Linked DNA regions of Notamacropus eugenii. The protein of the gene in region 1 purifies or fractionates together with the protein of each later gene. This does not show direct contact. Links are inferred from orthologs where the notes say so. Each region holds a gene or a part of one and is shown on either strand. Other genes may lie near its edges. The genes, in order: POR and EMC4.

Region 1 (12,493 bases):
AGATGTATGTATGTATGTATATGTATATATAGTGTCTATATGTATGCATATATTCAGTGTATCTACATATACAATGCCCATATGCATGTATACAACATACTTAGTGTATATACATATAGATACAGTGTCTATGTGTATGTAGACACAGTGTGTATGTGTATACACAGACTCAGTGTATATACATATAGATACAGTGACTCTGTGTATATGCATACAGATACAGTGTTTTATATACATGCATATAGATAGATAGATAGACAGATAGATAGATACAGTGTTTATGGGTGTATGTATACCACCCAAAGGTACAGTGTCTATATGAATGAAGATATAGATAGTATCTATATGTACACATATACTCAGTGTATATACATATAGATACAGTGTCTATATGAATATAAATATATATTCACTCATATGTACATATACACTGAGCTGTGTACATTATACTTCATATATATATGTATATATGCATATAACATGGTGTTTATGTACCTTATATATTTATATATTCAAATTTACCTCAAATATAAGATATTTAAGGAAGGAGAGAGTTGTAAAAATTGGGGCAGGGGGAGGCAAGCTATGGCTGTCCTTGAGGAAAGTGTTGCGTGGTAGAGTAGAAAGATCCCTGACTCCAGAGTCAGAGATCCTGAGTTCGAGTTTTACCTCTGATGCTTGGGGACATCGTTTAACATCTCTGGGCCTCAGTTTTCCCATCTGTAACAATGAGTGAATTGGAGAAAGTGATCTACCTCTTTGGTTCTATGACATCATTCTGACAAACTCCTCTAAGGCTTATCCCCCAATTTATTGATCTCAGACAGTCTGTTTTTCACCAATTCACACTCCCATATCAGAAGGAATCTTAATTTCAGTAAGCTAGGACATTTCTTTATTTTAAATTGTCCTTTTTAATTTTGAGTTTAATCATCATCATCGTCACACACAAACATTTCAGGGTTCAAATCCTGCTCTGTGATTTGCTACCTGTGTTGCCTGGGACCAATTTTCATCTCTGAGCTTCCGTGTCTTTGTATGTGAAAGGAGAGGGTTGGGCTTGTCAAGATATGAGGAGACCCCTGTTTTCCAGAGCTCTGGCCCAGCAGGCAGGCTGTGCCCTAAACCTGGCATAACAACCCTCTGGATGATCTTTGCCACAGCAAAATCCCAGAATTGTTTCATATTATTGTATTGCTTTGATCAACACCAGGAGCTCAGACAAACACCTGCTCTATCCATGTTCTGGTCACGAAGCTCTGCTCTGAATCCAACTCGTTGTTACCCCTCCTATTGTCAGGGCTACAGCTCACTGCACAGTCGTTGGTATAAGCCTCAGGTGTCCCCACCAGGAGTGGGCCACCAGCACATGTGGCTTTGCTTGCAAGTAATTTCCCTCACTTTGAAATTAAACTTCTGTTTGATTCCTGAATCTCCTGTCTCTAGCCTGTTGTGTTTGGCTCTGACCATCCACAGGTTAGAGGCTGGTTCTGAGACTTCTTCCTGCTTTAAATCTGTTCCCTGGCTTGAGTTTGAAGTCTAACTGCAACTTTATTCTTCTTAATTGTACATTTGTTTTTTATATCACCCTGGGCAAGTCACCTCACCTCCCCAATCCTCAGTTTTCTCCTCTGTAAAATAAGGGGAAGTGTGACTAAATGATTATAAGACCACTTCCAATCTATGATCTTCTGGCTTCATTTTGGAATTTCATATCCTCCAAATGTAGCCCAGTGTCTGGCATGGAGCAGGGGTTTAACAAATGCCTGTTCATTCATGAATCCTGGAGCTACTGCTGACTAAAAGAGAAGGTTGCTTTTGGAGGAGTTCAGAAGGCTAGAGGCCTTGAGAACATGTAATTGTTAAGAGATAAAGGGAAGCTGGGTTCCGGAGGGAGGCGGGTTGAAGGATGAAGCGTGGATGGACTCAAAGGGCAATCAAAGGGGATCTACTGGAGGACAGAGCCAGAGGAGTTCAGAGAAAGAGCAGCAAGGGAGGCAGCTTCACAGAGAGAGGGAGAGCCAAGGGAAATCTTCAAGGACAGGTGCATGATGGTGGAATGTGGAATGCTCCAGCCTGCCTCTGGAATGCTGATACCCATGTGGAATGTCTGCGTTAGCAGCCAAACTGAGTAGGTGAGGCCCTGGTCTGACAAGTTACCTCCCACATCGTTCATCCCTGTGCTGGGTCAGGACAATACACAGATACTCCAAGGTGATAGTTTTGATTGGATGCAGATTGAAGCCCATCCATTCTGGCCCATTCCCTCCCCTAAGCTTGGCACAGGGGTTCCACCCAAAAGTCTGGAGGCCTGTCCTCATTCCTGCCAATATTCCAATATTGAGAGCACCAGTCAAGTCCTCTGGCTGCCCATCTGCCATTCCTTGCTTTCTATCTTTTCTGCTGAGGGCCACGTCTAGTTGTCCTGATCTATATCGCACCACTGGACCCAGATGATTCCAGAGGAGAAAGTGAGGCTGGTGACCTTCCACAGTCCTCCCTCACTAAAATTCAATGAATTTGGAAGTCATGGCACCATCTTGATGTTAAGATCTTCAAGAATGAAGAACAAACAATAACAACATATTGTCTGCCGGTCCTGGATTTCCTTTCTAACATCCTTCTCCCTGTTCTTCCTGGGGGCAGAAATGCTTGTGTTCCACATCTTGGTTACAGTAGCTGTCAAATCTCAGCAGTAAAAAGGTAGGTTTCTCAAAGAATGTAAATGGAGGTAGGAGGCCATGGATGTGGAACAGTATATGTAATATTAGACTCACTATATTGGCTAGTGTTGCTGAACATTTTTTCCTTACTGTTTTTATTTATTATTACAAAGGCTGGTAATCTGGGGAGGGTTCTAGAGGAAAATATAGGTGCAATAAAAAACAAAATAATAAAAAACAGTTTTAAAAAAATAAGTCTTTTCTTCTGGGAGGAGAAGTTTTTTTAACGGAATTTTGTAATTTCCTGGAGGCAATCCAGTCTGCTTTCCTCTCATTTAATTTTTATATAAAAATGACAGATATAAATCACACGTATGCCATCAATATATATCAGTATATACTGCATATATAATATGTATATACATAGTACATGTATAGCTATACATACATAACATACTTATATAACGTGTGTATGTGTACCACATGCATGACATCAATCTATGCTATTAATATGTTAGTATAAGTTAAGGTGTATATTTTCCATTTACACACACATAAACACACTGTGAATATGTATATAAAACCCAATATGATATATAATGTGTTATGTATAACATGCTATACATGTATGTATGTATGCTTTATGTGATGTTAGCACACATGTGATATCAATATGTATCAGTATATGTTGAGATATATGCTGCACATACATGTATGTATAGTGTGTATTTATGCATCTACATACACACATATGTAACATGTTTTATTGTTGCTCAGTCATTTTTCAGTCATGTCTGAAACTTTATGAACCCACTTTTGGGTTCTCTTGGCAAAGATATTGGAGTGCTTGCCATTTCCTTCTCCAGCCCACTTTACAGATGAGAAAATTGAGGCAAGTGACTGGCCCAAGGTCACATAGCTAGGAAGTGTCTGGGGCCAAACTTGGACTCAGGAAGACAAATGTTTCTGATTTCAGGCCCAGCACTCTATCTGCTGCACTATCTACATATATCTGGATGTTATATACATGTTTACACATAAAACAGTATGTGCATGGATATAGATATAGATATGTATACACTATATAGGTATATGTAAGTATATGCTATATATGCCATCAATATATATATTAGTATATGTCAAGATATATATCGTATATACATATACAGTGTATATATATGCCTTCTGTATATGCACAATGTGTGTATATGTACATATAACACAATATTATGTATATATACACATAAACATACATGCATATACACATATACATATTTTTATTTACACAAACACATAGAGATATACACACATACGTGTGCATGTCCACTGTTGGGCCAGCTCTACAGGGTGGCTATCTAAATATATGCTGTCATCTCATAGAAATACAAGGACAAAATAACATATGAGTACTACCTTAAAGAAGTTTACATTGATTCAAGTCAACAAACATTAATAATAGTTAATATGGGTATAGCACTTACTATGTGGCAGGCCCTGTGCTAAGCACTTAATAATTATTATGTCCTTTTCATCCTCACAACAACCCTGGAGATAAATGCAGTTATGATCCTCATTTTACAAATGGAGAAACTGAGTCACGCTATGGGTAAGTGACTTGTCACAGAAGTGTCAGAGGTAGAGTCTGAACCCAGGCCCTCTGACTCTCAATCCAATGGTTTTCCCATTGTACCAGACTTCCTTTTTTCTATTCTATAAAGCAGAAACCCTGGAGTATCTGCTGAATACTATTCTGCAAATGCTAGAGATACCAGGAGGTCATCTAGTCTAACCTTCCCATTTTTTTGGAAGAGGGAACAGGGGCTCAGAGAGGAAGGGACCAACTGGAGGCAGAAAACCTGCTCTGGCAAATACTCCCACTCTCTGTCCTCGTTTCTGTTCTTTTGCCCTGCCCTGTTCTTCCTTTTCCTCCCCCCACCACCCAATTCACACCTCTAGTTTCATTCTGATTGGACATGAATTCATCAGAAACCATTTCTTTGGGCCCTTGTTGGAAGTTCTTCTCATCCTGGTTTAACTCTGTACTAGACATTTTTCAGTCATGGGCTTGATGCTAGGGCCAGACTGTTCTGTGTCTCAGGACAGCTCTGGAGCCCCAGTTTAGGACTTCCTCATCTCCAAAACCAGACAGGCCAGTGCAATCATTCCTTCAATCTTCTCTGTGTCTGTGACCTCATTGATGTGGGTCTTCTCTCCAACTAGGGAGGCCACAACCATCACAACCATTTCATCCTCAAAAACTCTTGTCTGTATTCTCCCATAAACCATTCCTAGGGATCCACTCAACATGTTGAGGGTCAGCCAGCGCTCTTAACACTGTTTGGGTCCCCACAGAGCATGATGGTGACCCATTAGTCATCACACATTACCCACTTGGTCAACTTCCTCTTATGGTTTTACAAATATTTGCTGGCAATATTCCATGGTCTATTCCCCATAGTGTCTATTGCCCTTTGGGTGACTTTATTTCTTCATGGATTATAGCGTCAGTGGAAAAATATTGATGTCAGAAAGATAGGTCTTTGTTTCTGAGAGAATTTGGAGTTATTAAAAATGCTGCACAATTTTCCCAAAGTAAGCCAAGCCCACCTCTTTCCTCCTGTTCAATTCTGAGTCCAACAGAGTAGTCTATTTTCAGCATCTGTCCAAAATAAACTAACTGAAGGACCAACTCTTTGGGTCATCCAGCGAAGGACATATCATGGCCTGGATGATAGACTTTCTTCACTCACTTGGCTTTTCCTGTGTTGATTGTCAAGCTGAACTCTTTTGTGTGATTATGGACCTCAACTGGAGCTAGTAAATATTAGGATGGAAACTCCCTGAGGACAGATATTGTTTATTTCTTGATCTTTCCGTCCCCAGTTTAAACGGGCACGCTGACCAGCACATGGTACACTTACTCAGTGTTTGTATTCCACTGAATTACGAGACTCTTACAAAGAGCTGACATTGACATGGGTCTGATCTGGGTTTCCATTTCCTCCTCTGGCATTGGCATTGGTGAGCTGCTTAAAGATCCAGTGCTCTCTATACGTAGCAGAGAAGGGGCTGACCTGCCTTAGTTGAGGAGGGAAGTTCCCAGTTTGAGGAATCCAGAGGCCAGTCCCTACTTGGAAAATTTGTTGACAGCTTTGACGTTTATACCACACTTTAATGCTTACAATTCATTTTACGTGCAATCTCATCTAATCCTCATCCCTGTCCCATGAGTTCAGTGCCGCTGTTATTACTCCCACTTTACAGTGAAGGTTACACACATAGCAAAGGTTGGAGATGGGATTAGAATCCAGGTTTTTGTAATTCTGAGGTCAACACTTTCTTTGCTACAAGGAGGCAGCATCCCCTCTCTTCCCTCGGGACTTAGATGCTATCACCACAACCAGATGCCAGAAGGGATTTGGAGGAATACTTAAGAATAAAATTGTCTCCCTTCCTGACCCTCAGGGAAGATAAAAGTTGGACTCTTCCCTGACAGCAGTAAGGGCCCCTGGGGCAAGGTAAGGTGGGTCATCAAGTGAAAGCTCCCATCCACAGTTCCCTGCTGTTAACCCCAGTTGGTCACAACTATCCTAACCTAGTTATATTGCCTAATTATTTGGTCCTACTGGAATGGGGGGTTTTGATGGGAGAAAAGGAAGAAGAAAATTGTAGAGAATGGTCCAACTTGGAGAGAGAAGACCAACTGTGAGAGCACATGACATAAAGGGAGGCAGGGGGAGAAGGGAGTCAGGAGGGGGTGAGGTATCCCAAACTCACCTAATTTGACAGTGTTATTAGGTCCTGGTTTCCTTGACTTAGGTCATGGAAAGGAATATATTGCTGGCAATGGGGGTACCGGAGAGGCACCCTGATGCAGTGGAAAGAACTCTGGATTGGGACTTAGAGGTCCTGGGTTCTAATGCTGCCTCTGACATTTCCTACTAATATAACCTCGGGCTAATCACTGTGGATAAGTCACTTGCTCCCAGTTAGAGCTACCTTTCTCAGTAGTGGACTCTCCTTCCCTGGCAGGTTTTAAGCAGATCCTGGATGACTCCTCAGATTTTGTGGAGGAAATTCCTGCTCAGCTACAGTTTGGACTAGATTTTGACAGCCTTTATGAGCCTCCGTTTTCTGATTTGTAAAATGAGACAGCCTCTAAAGTCTCTCTCTGGGCCTCAATTTCCTGTCCCGTAAAAAACTGGGAGTGGACTAGCCTCTCAGGGCCTTTCCAGCTCCAGGTTCCATGAGGTGAAGAGGACTGAATTGATTCATCCATGGTCACCCACGGAGTAAGAGGCAACAAGGATTCTCCCAAGTACCTATTGCTTTCCCCACTGTGTCCAGGGACTGGAGGCCATGCCTTGGTCCTTAGAGGACTTTTGCAGGTCCCCTTCTGCCACCCCTGAGGTGTTCAGCCCAGAGTTCTCTGGGAGAGAACCTCCTAGCTGCCTTCCCCCTTGATTCAGGGGAAAACTTCCCAATTCTTGCCATCCCAATTCCAACGGTTTTCCGTGGGGTCAGAGGGAAGGGAGGAGGAGAAAGCGGAAAGCTGATTGGCCATCCCTGGGTTGTCTATGTCCCTGAAATTCAGGGGTTGTTGTGGTGCTTGTGCGTCAATTCAGGAACACAAAGGACCAAGCCGGTGGCTCCAGGGAAACAGCTGGCTCCTGGGAGAGGAAGGGGGAGGGGAAGGGGCTGGCCTGGAGAGTGTAATCTCTGCTAGTCCCTCCCCTTCTCCTCCCATAAAAAGGCAGTGGGCCGGTCAGAGATTGGAAAAGACAGGAAAACTCAACCGAGCTACTCCTGTCAGCTGCTCCACTCTCTTTGGTCCCACCCTGCCACCTAAGAAGGGTCATGGTCTTTGTCTAGCAGGTCCATCTGAGTGCTGCCTCCTGAGAAGACTGCTTCAGCTTTTTGGACACCCCTAGGTCAAGTACAGCTCCCTTTGAGCCCCAGAAAAAGTCCTCCTGAACCACTACATCAAGAAGGCCCAAGGTGAGTAAGTCGCTCAGTCAGTCCCCTCTTCACACACTTTGCTCTACCCTGCTGAAGGGGTTTGTGTCCCTTCCCATTGTGTCCAATGCTGCTGGTGGGTAGGGGGGATGGGGAGGGGGATGGGGAGGAGCCAGGGGCTAGAAACTTCTGGTTCCTGCGACCGCAAACCCTTCTTAGCATCATTATGGTGGTATTTGTTATTTTTTAATGCATAATTGAAGGAAACGCTAGATGTCAGTTAAAGGACAGTACAAAATAAAAATGTAATTGAGGTTTTTTTCCCCACCCACATTCATGGACTCCTTGAAATTTATCCATTGGGTCAACCCTCCTCATTTGACAGATGAGGAAACAGATGCCCAGGGAAGGACAGTGATTTGCCTAAGATCACACATCAAGTTAGTAGCCAAGCTAAGATTTAAACTTGACTCCTCCAACCAGTATTGGAGCCACTTAGAACCCTTAGGCCACTTAGTGCCTGGCATGTAGTGAATGCTTAATAAAAATTTGTTGATTGGATCAAAGGTACTTCCTTTCCCAGCTCTCATTACACACACACACACACACACACACACACACACACACACACACACACACACATACACACACACACACACACACACACACACACACACACACACACGCGTACTCTCCAAGGCAAGGATCCAAGTGATCCAAGTAATGATAGCGCATCAGATCATGGAGAAGACTGCTTAAGAACTGGTAATACTTCTTTGCTCTCCCGGGTGCCTGAAGACTGCTTCTCCATGCATGAAAAATGGGAAAAAGGTATGTAGCTACAGGCGCCACTATCTTCCTACTGCCCCATTTCCAGACAGTTGTTTCTGGGTCTAAGCCTCTGGATTCCTGAGCCTCTGTTAATTCTGGATTCTAGAGATCCATCTTCTGGTCCTCTGCCAAACTCTTTCTGGCACTGACTTCTTCACCCTAGGAGTCTGGGGTTATCTGAAATCACTTTCTTTGACAATCTGGAGAAATGCAAAATTTCCATGAGAAGTTGGTGAAAATAAAGATTTCTTCTCCTGAGAAAAAGAAAAAGTACCCTTCTTCAAGGCAAGAGATCTTGTGGTAGTGTGAAACTACCACAACTACTGGCTTAGGTTTCAGAGGACCTGTGCTCAATCCTGCCCCAGATATTTACCAGCTAGGCAACATGTGACAAGTTATCTAACCTCCCTAGGTCTTAGTTTTTTCATTTGTAAAATGAGAGGCTAGGATTAGACAGTCTGAGGTCTCTTCTTGCTCTAAATCTATAATCCACACATTTTTGTTAAGATCTGGGCCCAGTACTGACTTCCCCCTTCATTCCAACCCCAATTCAGTCGTTGGCCACAGCCATGGCAAACACACCCTCAGAGCAGCCCTGGCTGTTTGCCTGAAACCTCAACAACTATTCAAGTCTTACCTGCAAAAGGGGAGATACAGAGATTATGATGCCCTCATGGAGCTACAATCTTGGACCTATGGATGATCATGAAACATTGGTTCCCAGGCCATAGAAGTGAAAACCAGGAGCTATTTCAGGCTTTTCCAAGTACTAGGCATGAGATCCTTACTATGTCTTTGCATTACGAATTTCCCCATTGTAAAGCCTATTTGGGTAGAAGTCAATGGCCACAGGCAAAGAAAGGGAAAGGGCCTGGGAGGAAGGGAAGGAAAGAGGTGAGAGTGTTTTATGTAAGATGACACAGTGATAGAGCTAGCAATAGGACCTTGAGAAGCTGAATAGGAGGTAGAAAGTTCAAGAGAGAGAGCAGCCCCTTCAGATATCCAAGGTCTTAGAACCTGGAGCTCAGATGCTATTTAGTTTGACTTGTACCCGAGCAAGAATGGAGTCTCAGGCCTGATCAGCAACTGCCACTGGTGATGCTAGCTAAAATGAAAGGCTAGGAAGGAGGTCAAAGGCCCATATTGAGGAAGCAGTTGCCCCAAGGTCAATAGTTAGTAAGTGGCAGAACCCAGAGTCAGAAGCTTCCACTGCTCCATCCCAGACTTTTCCCACTATCCCAGCCTGAAGAGGAAGCTGGAATATTCCCCTGGATGATGACTGTCAATTTTGAGGTCTTCCTCTTGCTAGCCAAGCAATCTGAGATTCCAAAGTAAAGGGTGAAGGACAGGGAAGTGCTGCCTTGCCTGTAAAGGAGCAAGGAATAGGACTTTACAGAGCAAGGGGGAGGAAAATGGCTGTTTGTTTGGTTTTTTTTTAACGAAACTATAGATAGGCCAGGGAAAGATAAAGACAGTGGCAGAATGGCCTTGAGGTAGAAAGAGGCTTTTGTTCTGGGAGAGTGCCAGGGTTATTGGCTCCATCTTGGTTGACTAGGTGACATTTGTCTTTTCCTGGAGCTCTAGGAAAGGGACAAGAGTCAACCCAATTATAGATCTATATCTGGAAAGGATCTCTTGACCCACTCCCTTTTTTTCAGGTGAGGAAACTGAGAAAATTGGTGAGATTCTCTAGTGAAGGCTTGTCTCAGCCCCAGTGCCATTCCTGACTTGTGGTGGTCCAGTCAAGGTCACCCAGTTAATCAGTCATTTTGTATTAAATGTCTACTATGTGCCAGGAACTATACTGGTGTTGGGACGTACTAAGATAGAAGTTACATGGTTCCTGCCCTCAAGGAGCTTTTGTTCCAACATTTACATTTCCTCCATTAAATATAAATTTACTACCTTTCCCCACAACTTCCCTATGCCTTAGTTTCCCCATCTGTAAACCAGGGAGAAGAGTCTCTGCCTCTTCCCCTGCCACACAGGGATGGTATAAAGACAGGGGGAAAATAGAATGGCGGAGCCAGAAGAGAATTTAGAGCTTATATAGTCCAACAGTCACATTTGACAGAGTAGGAAACTGAGACACAGTGAGAGTATTTTATATAAGACCTCACAGTGATAGACCTCACACCAGGACCCTGAGATCAGCACTGTTTCTAGGACATTATGAGGGGAAAAGAGCTCGGGAAATGAAGATATTAAGAAGCAGTTATTTGTAGAGGTCTAAGAGCTGGTCTCAGTGTCAGGAAGACCCTAGGTTCAATAATGACATGTTGTCCAGATGACCCTGAGCAAATCATTTCATGTCTCCGCATCTGGCAAGAGCCAGGGCTGGTCTGCCTCAGTTGAGGGGGATTTCTCATGATGAATTTGTTCCACCAAAAAAATCATAAATCTGGTCCAAAAATATAAAGTACCAACAGATCAATTGATTAAAGGGATCAGTAGGAGGAGGAGGCAAAGGACAAGGTCTGCTTTGGTCTTTTCCAGCCCAAATAATTCCTTATCTTTTATTCAGACCTGTTGACATGTAGATAGTATTCTGGCTTATGGAACCCAACTCTATGTGCCCAGAAAAAAATAGAAACAAACAACCATTCAAAGGAAGAGATATTAGCTCCTAGGGGATGCTCAGGAGTGAGCTTAAAGCGTTTCTTGGTCTTCCCCTGTCCCCTGGGGCCTTTCAGTGTGAGCATCCTAGCACACAAAGGAGAATCCTCCATCTCTTCCACATCACATCCCCCAACCAGTCTCTTTCTGGCATCCCTGGTCACAGAGAGAGGCCCTGTTGTGGCTCATGACCCACTTGGGTCTTCTCTTGTCCCCATGACAAGTGAGGAAGAAGGAACAGTTATGAGATCACCCTGTTCCCATTCACATGCTATCACACGTGGGAAATCTTTTTCAAGATTATTTTTGATTATCTGTTGTCCAGTCTTCCTGCCAACTGAATTTTTTACCAGTTTTTGTTCCCTTTAATCTGAGAAACTCTCCATTGCCAACACTGCCTAGATCGATAGTTCAACCGGGTACTGTTTTTAAAACAACAAAAACCCATTGGCACTCATTTGGATTCTTCAGAACTCTCCTCACCTCAGTCACTGCCCTCCTTTTTAAAGAGACCCACACTCTTTTTCAGTTGTAGCTCTTAAAAGATGCCATGTTTTACTTTCTGGGCAATGAAGGGATTTTGAAGGAGTCTGATTATAATCCTGCATACTGACTTTAAAATGTACCCCATCCGAATCCCCACCCCACAAGTCATTTGCCACTGCACTTACCCCTTTAAAGAATTCACGGGAATAATTTAAGTATTCACTTAAAGAACTGAAGTAATTCACAGAAATCTATGCCTCTTCCCTCTTCCTTCCCATCATTCTCCCACTCTCCCTGGCTTAACAAATCACTTAACATGGTACTTAAAGTTAGACAAAAGATAATTCTTACTATAGCCCTGGGTAACAAACAAAATGCTTTAAGGTTTATGGAACACTGTCTATGTTTCAATTTAATTTAAATTTTCAATGAAAATTTTCTTTTTCACTTTCCCACTCCCCCTGGGGAAAAAAAAAAAAGAAAAACCAAACCAAACCCTGGTAACCCAAATTCCCACACTGGCCACATTTACAAAATGTGTTTCTTCTTCTGAATCTTTAGTCCATCACCCTTCAGGCTGGAGGCATTGCTGGTCAGGGGACTTCCAAAACCATGATCAGTCATTGCACTGATCAGAGGTCCAAAGTCTTTCATAGTTTGTCTTTACAATGTTGCAATTTGTTGTTAAAAATAATTTAACTGGGTGTGCCCTGCACAGTACTTTATGTACATAGTCTGGCTTTCCCCCACTCTGTTAGGTAAGCATCACAGGTATCATTAAGCCTAGCCTAGGACAGGATGACATCATGTCTTGGAGGATAGAGAGCTGGTCCCAGAACCAGGAAGACTTGGTGTGCTGCCCACCTCATTGTGACTCTGGGCAAGTCACTTAACCTCTCTTTGCTCTGAGCAGCTCTCCCTAAAAGAAGGTGCTGACTTGC
Region 2 (12,554 bases), on another chromosome or scaffold:
TGGATGCCATCTGAGCAAGCTGATGGGTCTGTCCGTGTGCCAGAGCCTCTTTATACAGGAATCAGAAGCATTTCACCCTACCTTCACAACTGAGAATTTTAGTCATAGGTGATATAGACATCAGTTTTTATAGTATTATTTTAGGGGTACAGATTAGGTCCCTCTATGTGATGTAATATCTGAAATTTCATCATTAAGAGATTCTTCCTATTGGCTGGAGCTTTGGTTAGTCTTTTTATATAAAAGTTCTTCACTAGTAGAAATAACTCCTTAACTTCACTTTACATCTTGTGTAAATCACTTTCTGGAAAAATAGATTTTGATGGAACATAGAATATCAGATATGAAAGAAATGGGGCCTAAGGACTGAGGACAAGAGGTAGAGATTTTATGTAACAAAAACCTTGGAACATTATATTCAAGCCCACTTGTAAAAATAGGTATTTAAACATACAAATATCAACATAAGTTTATCAATAAATCTAAGTCCCCTTATACTAATTTTCTCTATACATTCACTTATGTGTAAATGTATAATTATTAAAATCATGTAGCCAGGGATAAGCTCAGTTACCAACTAGAAGAGGCTACTGCAACAGTTTCATGCATAAGATACAATTTCTGTTGTAAATTTCCTCATTTTTCTCAGCTATAAAATGAGCTGGAAAAGGAAATGGCAAAGTATTCCAGTATCTTTGCTAAGAAAACCCTAAATGGGGTCATGAAGAATTGGATACAACTTAAATTATGAAACAACAACAACATTTCAGTTGAATGATTAAATTGGAAGCCAGACTGAAGAAAGTTGAGAAGAAAGTGAGAGAAAAAGAATTAAAGACTTTCTTTTATAAATATAGATAGAACTTTTAATTGTGGATGGACTTCTCAAGGAGTTTAACTGCAAACAGCAGAAGTATAGCATGATAACTAGCAGGGATGGATGGATCCAGGGATAGCTGGGTTTTTTTTAAGGATAAGAAGATGTAGACACATTTGTAGGTAGCAAGGGAAGTAGCCAGCAGAAAAGGAAAGACTGAGAATGAGTGAGAGGATGGGGGAAATGGAGAGAGCAATCTATTGGAAAGTGTGAGATGGAATGGGACCACTTGTGCAGGTAGGAGGAGTTTACCCTAGCAAGAAAAAGAACTGCCTTCTTCATGTGAAATAGGAATAAAGGAAAAGATAGTTACAGAAGACATCTGTGTGAGGTATGACAAAAAGAAGGGGAGAAGAGGGAAGTATTGGAAGGATTTCTTCAGTGAAATATGAGACAAGATTCTCAGCTGAGAGGGTGGGAAATAGAGGTTTGAGGAGGGATGAAAAGATGTGGAAAAGCTGCCGTGGTGAATGGGATAGTGAATTTATTAGGAAGGTGTTATAGCATTATGGTGCTAGAGTGAGGGCAAAGTGAAGATTATGTAACTTAAATATGCTGGACCCAGTCAGCATGGTTTCATTATTTTTCTCCAGTTTTGTTTAGCAGCATATGAATAGGAGTGAAAGAAGATGGTGGGAGCATTCTAGGATGGAATTAATAATAGGATAACAGTGTCAAGATAAGGAAGAGAGGAGAGGATAGCCCATGCCAGGGTGATAGCCTGCGAAGGAAATGAGGGATGGAGTGGAAGGATCACCTGGAGTGAAAGGTCACAAGGAGGATGAAAAACAGAGTTAGGGGTTATAAGGCAAAGGGAAAGGGGTAATGATAAAAGATTATGGTCAGATAAAGGAATTTCAGAGTTCATGAACATTGAATAACAACACTTGGGGAAGATGGCAAGGGTCTGACCATATCTGTGTATAGCTGAGGTGGGGTGGAAGAGTCAGTCATGGGAAATGAGTTAAGTTGAGGAATTGGAAAGTTAGGATGTTTAAGAGAGTTATCAATATGTCAAAGTCCCCTAGTATGAGAGGAAGAGGGAAGAGGGAAGAAAAAACTCATGGGGTAGGGCCAGAGAAGTCTATGAAGGAACTGGGTCTTAAAGAAAGGAAAAGTTATGGAGGAGAGAAGATTTTTAGCCAGGCATTTAACTCCTTGAGGAGGGAAGGAGAGTGCCTTGGAAGTTGGTAGATAACAACCACTTGATTGGGTGATGAATAGGGATTGAATAGACCTCAAAGAGGAGAGGTTACTAAGTGATGGTGGTAGAGTAAGAGAGTTTGGAAGTACCTACATAGAACAAAGAATATTCTAACTTCACCACTATGACTAGTGATATAGTGGGATGGGATATGAGTGAAACTGCAACCAAAGCTGGAAAGGGTGACTAGGGATGATATGTCATCAGGAGAGAGCCAAGTCTCAGTGGGTTCTAGAAGATATAAAGAGCGAAAAAAGAAATAATTTAATATGAAAGCAAATTTGTTATCTATGGAGTAGGCATTCCAGGAGGCAAAGTGGAAGAAAGCATGGGCAGATCTTGAGTGGTACATTGGAAGGTTTGGGTTGAGGAAGATGAGATGAATGGAATGGGCAGTGGGAGACAAGGATAGGGATTTGTACAAGGACAGTCAGGGCTTCAGAATCACTGGCATGGGGTGGGAGTATACTAATTTTTGAGAAATAAATTCAGGCAGGTTATCATAGTAATTTATTCACTTCAATATCAAGGAGCCAAAGGTTATTCCTACTGAGGAAAAGTAAGGTCATTGGAAAATTTGATCTTGATCTCAGAGATTCTTTCCTGTATCAGATAGGCCTTGGGCTTCCCTAACAAAACATTTGAAAATTCAGATATTAATCCTAGAGGTAATTTCACAAAAAAGTGACATTATTCCCTTCAAGGAAGAAACAGCCTCAATGGCTGAAGCCAATTTAGAAGAGAAGTCTAACAGAACATAGCAGCAGCAATTTTGCAGAGAAACAACAGGGGTAGAGAGGACTGGTGGCTGAAGAACCAAAGGCACAACCAAAGAAAGAGTTCTGTTCATGCTCCAGCTGTGTTTCAGGTAAGATGCAACCCTAGGAGCATAATTTGTCTGGGGAATGTTTCCTATCACATCATCACTAAGGAAATTTGTTAGAAATTTGCATATGTTTGCATATGAGGAAGTCCCCCCCCCCCTTTTTTTAACTACTTACTTCCATTTAAAAGCTTTGCTACTTGATTCAGGGTTTCTGGACTGCTGGTGGAGAGTGCAGGAAATAGGCACTTGAGCACTATTAGTGTAACTAAGATTACCTGGAAACACACCATCCTGGCCTTGGATAGCATTATAAAAGATATTATCAAATTGATGTATGATCAAGAATGAAGGTAGATACATCATGTGGGGATAGAAAAATAGAGAGCCTGTATGATTCATGGTATCCCATACTATTAGAAGATCCAAAGAAAGACCCCCAGAAATATTTGACTCCATACATGTTATATTATTAGAATAGAAAAAAATGCTTCAGTCCTTTAATTTCAAGGTTTTTACTAAACAAAGAAAAATAATAAATCATACAGACTTTTTCCTCAGTTAAATATTTTCACCTTTGCTGAGGACAAATAGGAATAGTTATAAATTGGTGGATATAGGCTTATAATTAGTTACCAGGAAGAAATGTCTACTGAGGATTGACCCTGAGTTCATTATCAATGGAGGTTATGGAATTAAAAAAAAATTTTAAAAAAAGATTAAAAAAACAAAATGGACAAATACTTGTCAAATATTTTAGGCATCATTTCACTTAAAGTTTGATACTGGGGGAATAAGCTCATCATAGAGTAGGTATGACTCTTTACTATCTGTGTGTGTTCGTCCTTTGTTGCCGAAGAAGACAATACCATCAGAGAAATAATGAGATGACTTGCCCTTGACTTTGTTTTGAGTGAGGGAGGGCTGTGCAGGTCAGCAGCCTCACTTCTCCTCCAGAGCCATCTGAATATATATATGTATGTATTATGTACATATATGTATATAATATATAATAATATAATGTATTATATACATACATACACACACGTAATAGTAGCCATCTCTGGGAGGGGGAGGGAAGGAAAAAGGAGGAAAAAAGAGAGTTACATGATAATTTTATTATATATTTAACAGGAATAGCAAGTTGTACATAATAGATTTGTGGTTTTATGTACAATCTTTTTTTGTCTATGCTACTATGTGATGAAAATACTTGTTTAGTTTTTCAAGTTCTGAATAAAATAAATACATTTTTTAATAGGAAAAGATCTCTCAAACTTAAAAAATTATCACCTCCAGCAGGAAATTCTCTTTGGTCCCCTTAGCCAGGTTCACTGCTCTTTCCATCTTTGCCTTGGTACAGCTTTTACTCCCTCATGCAACACATCAAGGCTGTGTTGTTCAAATTCATAAATGTGTTGGTTCCACTTTCATTGATAGAGAAGCAATGTGGTTCAGTGGATTTGGAATATAGGAATCTGGGTTCAAATTCAAGATATTCCAACTACCATTCATGTTACTCTTGGCAAATCATTTCCTCTCAAGCCTTATTTTCCTCATCTTTAAAATGAGAAGGACCTCTGATGACCCTTTCAAGTCTAAATCTATGTTTCTATGAACCAGATGTTACTAGAACACTGCCAGCATTTTTTCACCCAACCTTTAAACACCTTAGACTTCAGAGGTAGTATCCTGCTGAGCACTCTAGCATATTTGATATCAAAGATGCCAAGCACACCTCAGAATACGGAAGGCTAAGCTTAGAGCTGGCTATGCTTAGTGGAGTGGTACTTCAGAGTTAGCAGACAAAAAAATTGCTGATTTCCACTGCATATTATATATCTTGCAGTAATTATATCTAGCCTATTCATAATTCATATTCATATTGGGGCAGTTAGGTGGTATAGGGAATGGAGTGCTGGGCCTGGAGTCAGGAAGACATCACCTTGACTTCAATTTCTGGCCTCAAACACTTATTAGCTTTTCTAGTCACTTACCCCTATTTGCCTCAGTTTCCTCTTCTGTAAAATGAGCTGGAGAAGGTAAAGGCAAATCATTCCAGTATCTTTATCAAGAAAACCCCAAATTGGGTCACAAGGAATTGAATATAACTGAAAAATGAGACATCAACAGTATTCATAAATCTTATGGTGTGAATGGATCCTCCAGAGATTCCCAAACTTATTTGGCCTACAGCTCTTTTTAAAAAAAATCATTAAATCCCCCTCCCTGGAAACCTACTTTCTTTAACTCTAATTTTTTTAAATTTGCATCATTTCAAAAAATATAAGGTTTTTTAAAATGACACATCTTAAATTTCATAATTTATTGTAAATTTGTGGCATTTTTCCTGCAAGTCATTACACGAACACATTCTTGCCAAAGCATGCTGCACTTCTCGACAACCTGCAACATGGTAATCTGCCAACACTTGCTTGTTAAGACCTATTGATGGACTTAACCACTCTTTGGTTATAACTTGCATTTTGTGTGTTTATTTGGAAAATAATATAATCACTATGATTTTAACTGTTACACAACAGATGAAACATGTACAAGTGGTTTTTCAAAATTTTCTTCTCTTCTTTCCTTACGCTTCCACTACCCTGTCATTTTTACTGAACACCTTCCAATTGCATGGGAGGTTATTATTTGCCCCACATTGTTCCATCATCTCCCCCCACCTCACTGCAGTACTGTCCACTCTGGGAACTTACACTCTAGAGAAAGTTGGCAATTATTCTCAGGAGATACTGTTGCCTCAGAAGGGGAGGAGAAATTTGAATACTGGCTGGCATTTGTTACTGAAATGCTGCAAGAATAACAAGTAGTTGCCACAAAAAAACTATATGCATGGAATAGAAAATCAGAGGGCCTGCATTGTGTATATTGCCCATGTTAAATATGGAAAAGCCACCTGTTAACAACGTATGAATGCTTGAGGGTCTAAGAGTCTGAAAATCTTCATATCAAATCTATAATTACAACCCAAGAGCAGGAAAAAAATAGGAAAGCTCAGTGATTAAGGAAGTAATCCTCAGGAACCCTGCCAAAGGACCCCACCAAGAGGAGTTTTTGTTATAAGTATGAGCAGGATGAACACTTATGGGTTTAGGACACTTAAGATGAGAATAAATCTTAAGGATTCAACAATTTTAGAAACTTATTGGTACCTTTTGTCTTTCATTTCTGAATACTTCTCTTCCTACTGAGTAAGGCATCCCTTGTAACAAAGAATATAAAAGTGGTTCAGCAAAACTGGCCAGCACAACCAATCTACTCTGACAGTATGGCAATGCACCTTCAGTCCAATACACCTAGTGTGCCCTGCCTGTCTGTAAGAAATAAGGAAATGGATTTCTCAATTCTTGCTCTCATACTAAACACACTGACGTTCCTTCAAGCACCCAAACTTCCCAATTCCTCAATCTATTTATTTTACTTGCTATGACCTGCTCCTACACTTCCCCTCAAACAGTTGTACTCTTGAACGTTCATGAACTCTGAAATTTCTCTAATCTGGTCATTATTCTTTATTATCTTATCTTTTCCTCTTTCTTAGGACCTCTGGCCCTATTCTTTGTCCTGGTTGACCTCTAATTTTTCCACCTTTTTCAGTTCCTTCCCAGGCCATTTTCCCCACACTAACTATTCACTGTACACTTCTCCCTTCCCTACTTCAATCCCTTTGAGAATCAGTTGCACCCTGTATTATACAGTCTTCTACACTCCATTTTCTTGCCTCCTGGCTTCCTATTACTTATCCTGCCTCATCAAATTCAGTATTCCTGGATAGCTTACTCCTTTTCTCCTGATTCACCTTTTCATCAAACTGCTGACTGGCTGCCCTTCGAATGTGACTGGTGTCCTAACACGGGTGGTGGCTGCGGGGGTTAGGGGGCAGGGGGCCCCCCAGGTCTCTCCCTTGCTCCAGACCCTCAGACTCTTGTACCTTCTACCCCGGGGCCTCTGGATGGGACGCGGCTTGCAGAGCTCCCCCCACATCTGTATTTAAGGGGGGCCCCGGGCCATCCATCCTTTTGTTCCCCACCCGCCAGCACTACTTTAGATTTTTTCACAGCGCCCCTACGTGGGGTGCCCCCTCCCTCCCCTCCCTTTCGCTTCTTGAGGGTGGGGACCTTCTTTATCCTCAGCTCTCAGCTCGGTGCCTGACTGACCCCCTGATGAGGTACCCCTGAAAGGCCACTTGGACGGAACCAGTTGGTCCACTAGTATTTATTTCCTAGAGGCGCAGTCCTCCACCGTCCACCCCTGAGCCCGCAGGCGACAAGGGCACAAAGCTGGGCGAAAGGAGGCATGACTGAGGTGGGACTGACGGAGAGCTACAGATGGGGAGCAGACGGGGAGGGGATGAAGGACGAGAGGGGCGCACGGGGAGGGAGGGGCGGATCGGGACCCTCGAGCTGGGAAGGCTCCTTTAATAAGCTCCAGGCCCCGCCCCCTTTCCCTCCCACGCACGCTCCCTCCGGGCTCTCCCTTAGCCGGAGCAGCACCGGAAGTGGCGTCATCCGGCTGACCCGGAAGTGCTATTTGGGAGGCGAGACCGCGGCTTCGCGGGGTCGCGCTCTCGGGGGTCGCGCTCTCGGGGGTCCCCGGGAAGGCACGCGATCCGGGCCTGCCTCCTTCTCCGCGGCGTCACGAGGCAGCCGCTGCCATGACGACCCAGGCAAGTTTGGTGGCGAACCGAGGCCGGCGTTTCAAATGGGCCATTGAGCTGAGCGGCCCCGGAGGAGGCGGCAGGTGAGGCGGGCACGGGAGCCGCGACGGGCACGGGAGCCGCGACGGGCACGGGAGCCGCGACGAGGGCGGGACGGGGAAGGCCGGGGCGGCTCCCCCCACCCTCCACGGGCCCCCTGGCTGGGGAGGAGCCAGGCCTCGGGGGCGTGGCGTCCTGGGCCCGAAGGGGCTGAGTGGGCACGGCGCTGACGTCAGTCGGGGGCCCGCCGCGTGCCAGGCACGAGGTCGTTCTGGGCGGGACTCAGCCGGCGGGGAGCCGGATCATGGGTCCGGGGAGGGCGGGGCGGACGTGAGACGCTGGGGTAGAATCCCCAGGACTCACCCCTTGCGTCGTCCCACGTCTCGCGTCCTGATGCCGGACCTGACCGCGTGACTCCCCGACCTCTCCAGCCTTGGCGGGCATCGCCCCTCCCGCGCCGGGCAGCCGGGCAGCCCACGCAGTCTCTGCTCACACGACGCACCATCTCCCGCCCTGGCGCTCTTGCACCGCACGCCCTGCCCTCCCGGGATGCCCTCTCTCCTTCCCTCCTTGGAGACGCAGCTTCCGGACTTGCCCTGTCCTGGCTTCCCCTCTGCCCTTGTGCTTGGCCCTCCGTGACGCCGGTCTTGAGGTCACGCGTGTTTGTACGTGCCCTTGTTAGCATGGCAGCTCCTGGCCTGTCGCTTCCTTCTGGCACGGAGAAGGCACCGAACACCTGAAGACAGGTGTCAGGGGCTTCAGATGGCATGTAGCCTAAACGCCTTCCTTTTAGAGGTGGTTCAGGATGAAGAGCGTGGGTGATGCCAGCCCAGAAAGAAGTTAGAGGAAAGGGCAGGGTTTTGGGGGGAGAGGGGCATTTGGGGAGATCCCTAGCCTCTGCTTCTTGGTCTGGTTCTTTAGGGGCCGAAGTGACCGGGGAGGTGGCCAAGGAGATTCCATGTACCCAGTGGGCTACCTGGACAAGCAGGTGCCAGATACCAGCGTGCAGGAAACAGACCGGATCCTAGTAGAAAAGGTACAGAGATTTAAGGAGGTGACCAGTGCCTCTGAAATCTTTGAGCTCTGCCTTTCTTCAAGGATGAGAAAAGGATCTCTTTAAAGACAAAGGACTTATAAAATAAAACCTTGGGCCATTTAGAGGGAATGGAATGGGGCAGGGATGAGGAGGACAGAATCCTTCTTTTTTCTCCACCATTAGAAGCTGGAGAAAATTGTCCCTGAATAACCCCTTGGAAGATAGCCTGAAAATGTTAATAAGCAGGCTTCTCACTCCTGTTTTCTAATCTTTGGATGAGAGCTCCTCAGATGGCAGCAGAAAACAAATTTGAAAAGTCATATTGCTGACAAACCTTGATGAAGGTAACTAGAAGTAATTGGTATTGGGGGTGTTAGTAGCCATTGAAGTGAGGTTAGCTAGGTGATGCCATGGATGGAGCACCAGTGCAGGAGTCAGGAGGACCTGAGTTCAAATCTCACCTCAGACACTTGACCCTCACTAGCTGTGTGACCTTGGGCAAGTCACTTAACCCCAACTGCCTCATCCTGGGTCATCTCCAGTCATCCTGATGAATATCTGGTCACTGGATTCAGATGACTCTGGAGGAGAAGTGAGGCTGGTGACCTGCACAGCCCTCCCTCACTCCAAACAAAGTCAAGTCATCATTTCTCTGATGGCATGGCCTTCTTCGGCAACAAAGGACAAACACAGCGATTGAAGCAAAATAATCATATGTTTCTTCTAGCGTTGCTGGGACATTGCCCTGGGTCCCCTCAAACAGATCCCCATGAACCTTTTCATCATGTACATGGCAGGCAACACCATCTCCATCTTCCCCACCATGATGGTGTGTATGATGGCCTGGCGGCCCATTCAAGCACTTATGGCCATTTCAGCCAGTAAGTATTGATGTTAACAAGGTATGCATTGTCCTTTCAAGCACACAGTCTGTCTTCCCCAGAACTTGGGAGGCACGTGTTTTCCCCAGAGTCTTTGAGGTCTAAAAGCCAATTCATTAGGGGATATCCCCATTGAAGTGACTTGTTAGAAAAGCCCTTTGCTACTGAGAAGTGAGGCTAAATTGCTTATATTTGAGTTTCTCTTTTTTTCTATGATCATCAGTTCCTCAGCCAGAAGCTCAGTCTCTTAGTATGTCCTTGTATGTATTATGTTGCGTTGGATTCATCTTGATACCTCTCATTGCCATTGCAGCTTTCAAGATGCTGGAGAGTTCAAGCCAGAAGTTCCTCCAGGGCTTGGTCTATCTCATTGGGAACCTCATGGGGTTGGCTTTAGCTGTTTATAAGTGCCAGTCCATGGGACTGCTGCCTACACATGCATCAGACTGGTTGGCTTTCATTGAGCCCCCTGAGGTAAGGCAAAAAGTAGGAATTTAAACTTGCCTAAGTTGAGATGTAAGCAACAGCTGACTGTGTCATCTACCTTATTTGTCAGAAAGTGGAGTTGGAGTTAGAAAAACAGACTTAGGAGACAAGCACATAGGGAGCTTCAGAAAATGTTTGAGTAGGTGGAAAGTAGGAGAGCTTGGAGTGGAAGATTAAACGGAGTTGGTGAGAAGCTGCACTATAACATTTATCATTTTTTTCTTTCTTTTTTCTTTTCAGAGAATGGAATTCAGTGGTGGTGGGCTACTCTTATAATCAGGGGAAACCGCGAATTGGCACCCTCTCACCCTTGGATCCCATTTGGTTTTCGTCATTTGTCCCTTCTCAATAACACTTCAGTCTGTTCTGCTTCACAAAGATCTCCTGTGCTGAAAAGAAGAATCCAAAAACTTCTTTTCTCAAAGGTGAAAACAGAACAAAGCTTATAGGGTTAGAGTACAAGAGTACCAACAAAGAAAAACTACAGAGATGCTCCTGGCTGAAAATAATGTAAAAAACTTTATTTATGTTTCTAATACAGAGCAAAAACAACAATCAGAACCATAATTCTATGTAAACAAGAGTGGCTGCTTCAGCCTCTCCTCTCAATAAATTAAACTGCTCAGAACAGCTCTTGGAAAAGAAAACAAAGTTGCATGAGTTCCCTTAATCCATTTCCCCTAAATCAAAGGTTCTACCTCTAAATGATATTAAAGGGGAAAAATACTGCTGGAGACAATTATGGTAGACTTGAGAAACTAACGCAAGCTTCAGATTATACATGATGAAAAGGAAAAAAGAAAAGAAAAAATAATTGTTAATACCGGACTGAACGTGGGCATTTTCTACGTGCCATGGTATTTTATTTAACTTGGGAACAGAGGAAGGTGACTGTGCTTAATCCATCACAGGGTAGGGAATGGGTTCCTTAGGGAGAGGCAGTCCCCAGCTGCCTCAGGAAGCTGTGAGGCATATATGAATATGAAGTAGTGATCTTTCCCCTGCTAAAAGACTGGCCTCAGTATGATTTTTAATCCAGCTAGTAAAGGCATAGACCAATAGCATGAGGATATTTGACACTACACTCCCTGGGAATATTATGGCTAAATCTCCAAATTTGATCTTGTCCCAAAGATAGAAGGTTCTTCCCCTCTCTTACCTCTGTGAAAACTGACAGCCCCCTTCCCTAAGGTGCATTCTCTTGTTGAGTTTTCAGTATTGCTCTACTTTGCAATGATTCAGAGACACAAGAGACAAAAATACATATACAGTGGTCCACACAAAAACGGGAGTGAGAGTCTGGTTAGTGGACAATACTCTGTCATGTAACAGTGATTAAAAAAAAAAAGATGGAGGCAGAGGGGCTACACACATAACCTCCAGTTCCCTCATCCCTTTAAAAATATTCTGACTATAAACTTCAGGGAGAATTTCCTTAAAACCTTTCATTTTTCTGTCTAGATTACATTAATCTCCCTAACCTAACCTCACCTCTCTAACATCATCACCCTTTTGGAGCAGGGGGTGCTGGCTCAGAGAAACTAAAAACCCACCAGGAAATGAAATGATTTTTGGAGTATCAGGTTGCAAAATCTAGGCTCTTGGACAGAGCCAAGGAGGGAATTTTCTTCTGGTATTGAACTCCAGTCCCCACCATAAAAAGGAAATTGGTAGAGGGAAACAAGGAATAAAAGGTGCAACATGAGCTATAAACATTCACTACACTCTTCCTGACACCTTGGAGGAAGAACTGAAGCTAAGACTGGTTAAATACTTTGTTCTGTCCAAGGAAGACAGGAATTAGAGTTGACTTGGTTTTTGCTCTTCTGTGTCGTGGGTGGCTTCTAATGATTTTCTTCAGTTATACTGAATGGTCGCCTTCTCTGTCCATGGAGCTAGCTGAATCATCAAAATGTTGCACATTCTGAATATAAAAGGGCTCATTTCAAATGCTACTGAGTAAAGAGAGATGATAACTATCTTCGGTTTAGTCAAGTAACAGCTGAGTCCATGAAGTGGCCATGGGCCTAGGCAAGGTGGAGTGGTCCCTGTACATGAAATATCTGTAATAGATTTTAGGCCAACTTCAGGGGTCTGAAATTATTGCCACAGCCATATAAGGCAAAGATTTCCTATGCCTGGAAGCAATACCTTGGTGCTTGGCAAAAAAAAAAAAAAAAAAAAAGGTTTAACTTGTAAGATTACCCCCTCGGTCCAGTCCTTCATAGCATTCTAAGAATGCAAAGGAAATTGGCAATTCCAAGGCTTCTGATTAATCTCTGAGTCCAGAACCAGGTCTTTACAATCAAAGTAAAGGAGGAAACTGAGGGAAAGGGTAATGTCCCCCGCTCCCACCCTAAAACAAAACCAAACAAAAACCTCATGTCTTAAATTGTCTGTGCATTGCTATCAACTTCCCCGCTTCATCTCAACTCCAAAAACCAAGCCACACAATGAGAAAAACTGGAACTTTCTAAGCAAAGTCAATGCCAATTCATATTCTGAGTCATTTGAGGAGGAATGAAAGGAA

The links.
Region 2: the proteins of POR (region 1) and EMC4 purify together in Homo sapiens (affinity purification with mass spectrometry; 3 studies listed by BioGRID and IntAct, with this or other methods). This does not show direct contact. The link is inferred for Notamacropus eugenii from reciprocal best matches to the Homo sapiens genes POR and EMC4.

Annotation. Positions count from the first base shown.
Region 1 is NC_092873.1:50,940,346-50,952,838, forward strand, and holds the start of POR (NADPH--cytochrome P450 reductase), read left to right. Parts: upstream 1-7,434; 5' UTR 7,435-7,661; intron 7,662-12,493. UniProt on the Homo sapiens protein: This enzyme is required for electron transfer from NADP to cytochrome P450 in microsomes. It can also provide electron transfer to heme oxygenase and cytochrome B5.
Region 2 is NC_092878.1:17,316,244-17,328,797, reverse strand, and holds EMC4 (ER membrane protein complex subunit 4), read left to right. Parts: upstream 1-7,372; 5' UTR 7,373-7,579; coding exon 7,580-7,665; intron 7,666-8,542; coding exon 8,543-8,657; intron 8,658-9,384; coding exon 9,385-9,538; intron 9,539-9,851; coding exon 9,852-10,012; intron 10,013-10,264; coding exon 10,265-10,300; 3' UTR 10,301-10,675; downstream 10,676-12,554. UniProt on the Homo sapiens protein: Part of the endoplasmic reticulum membrane protein complex (EMC) that enables the energy-independent insertion into endoplasmic reticulum membranes of newly synthesized membrane proteins.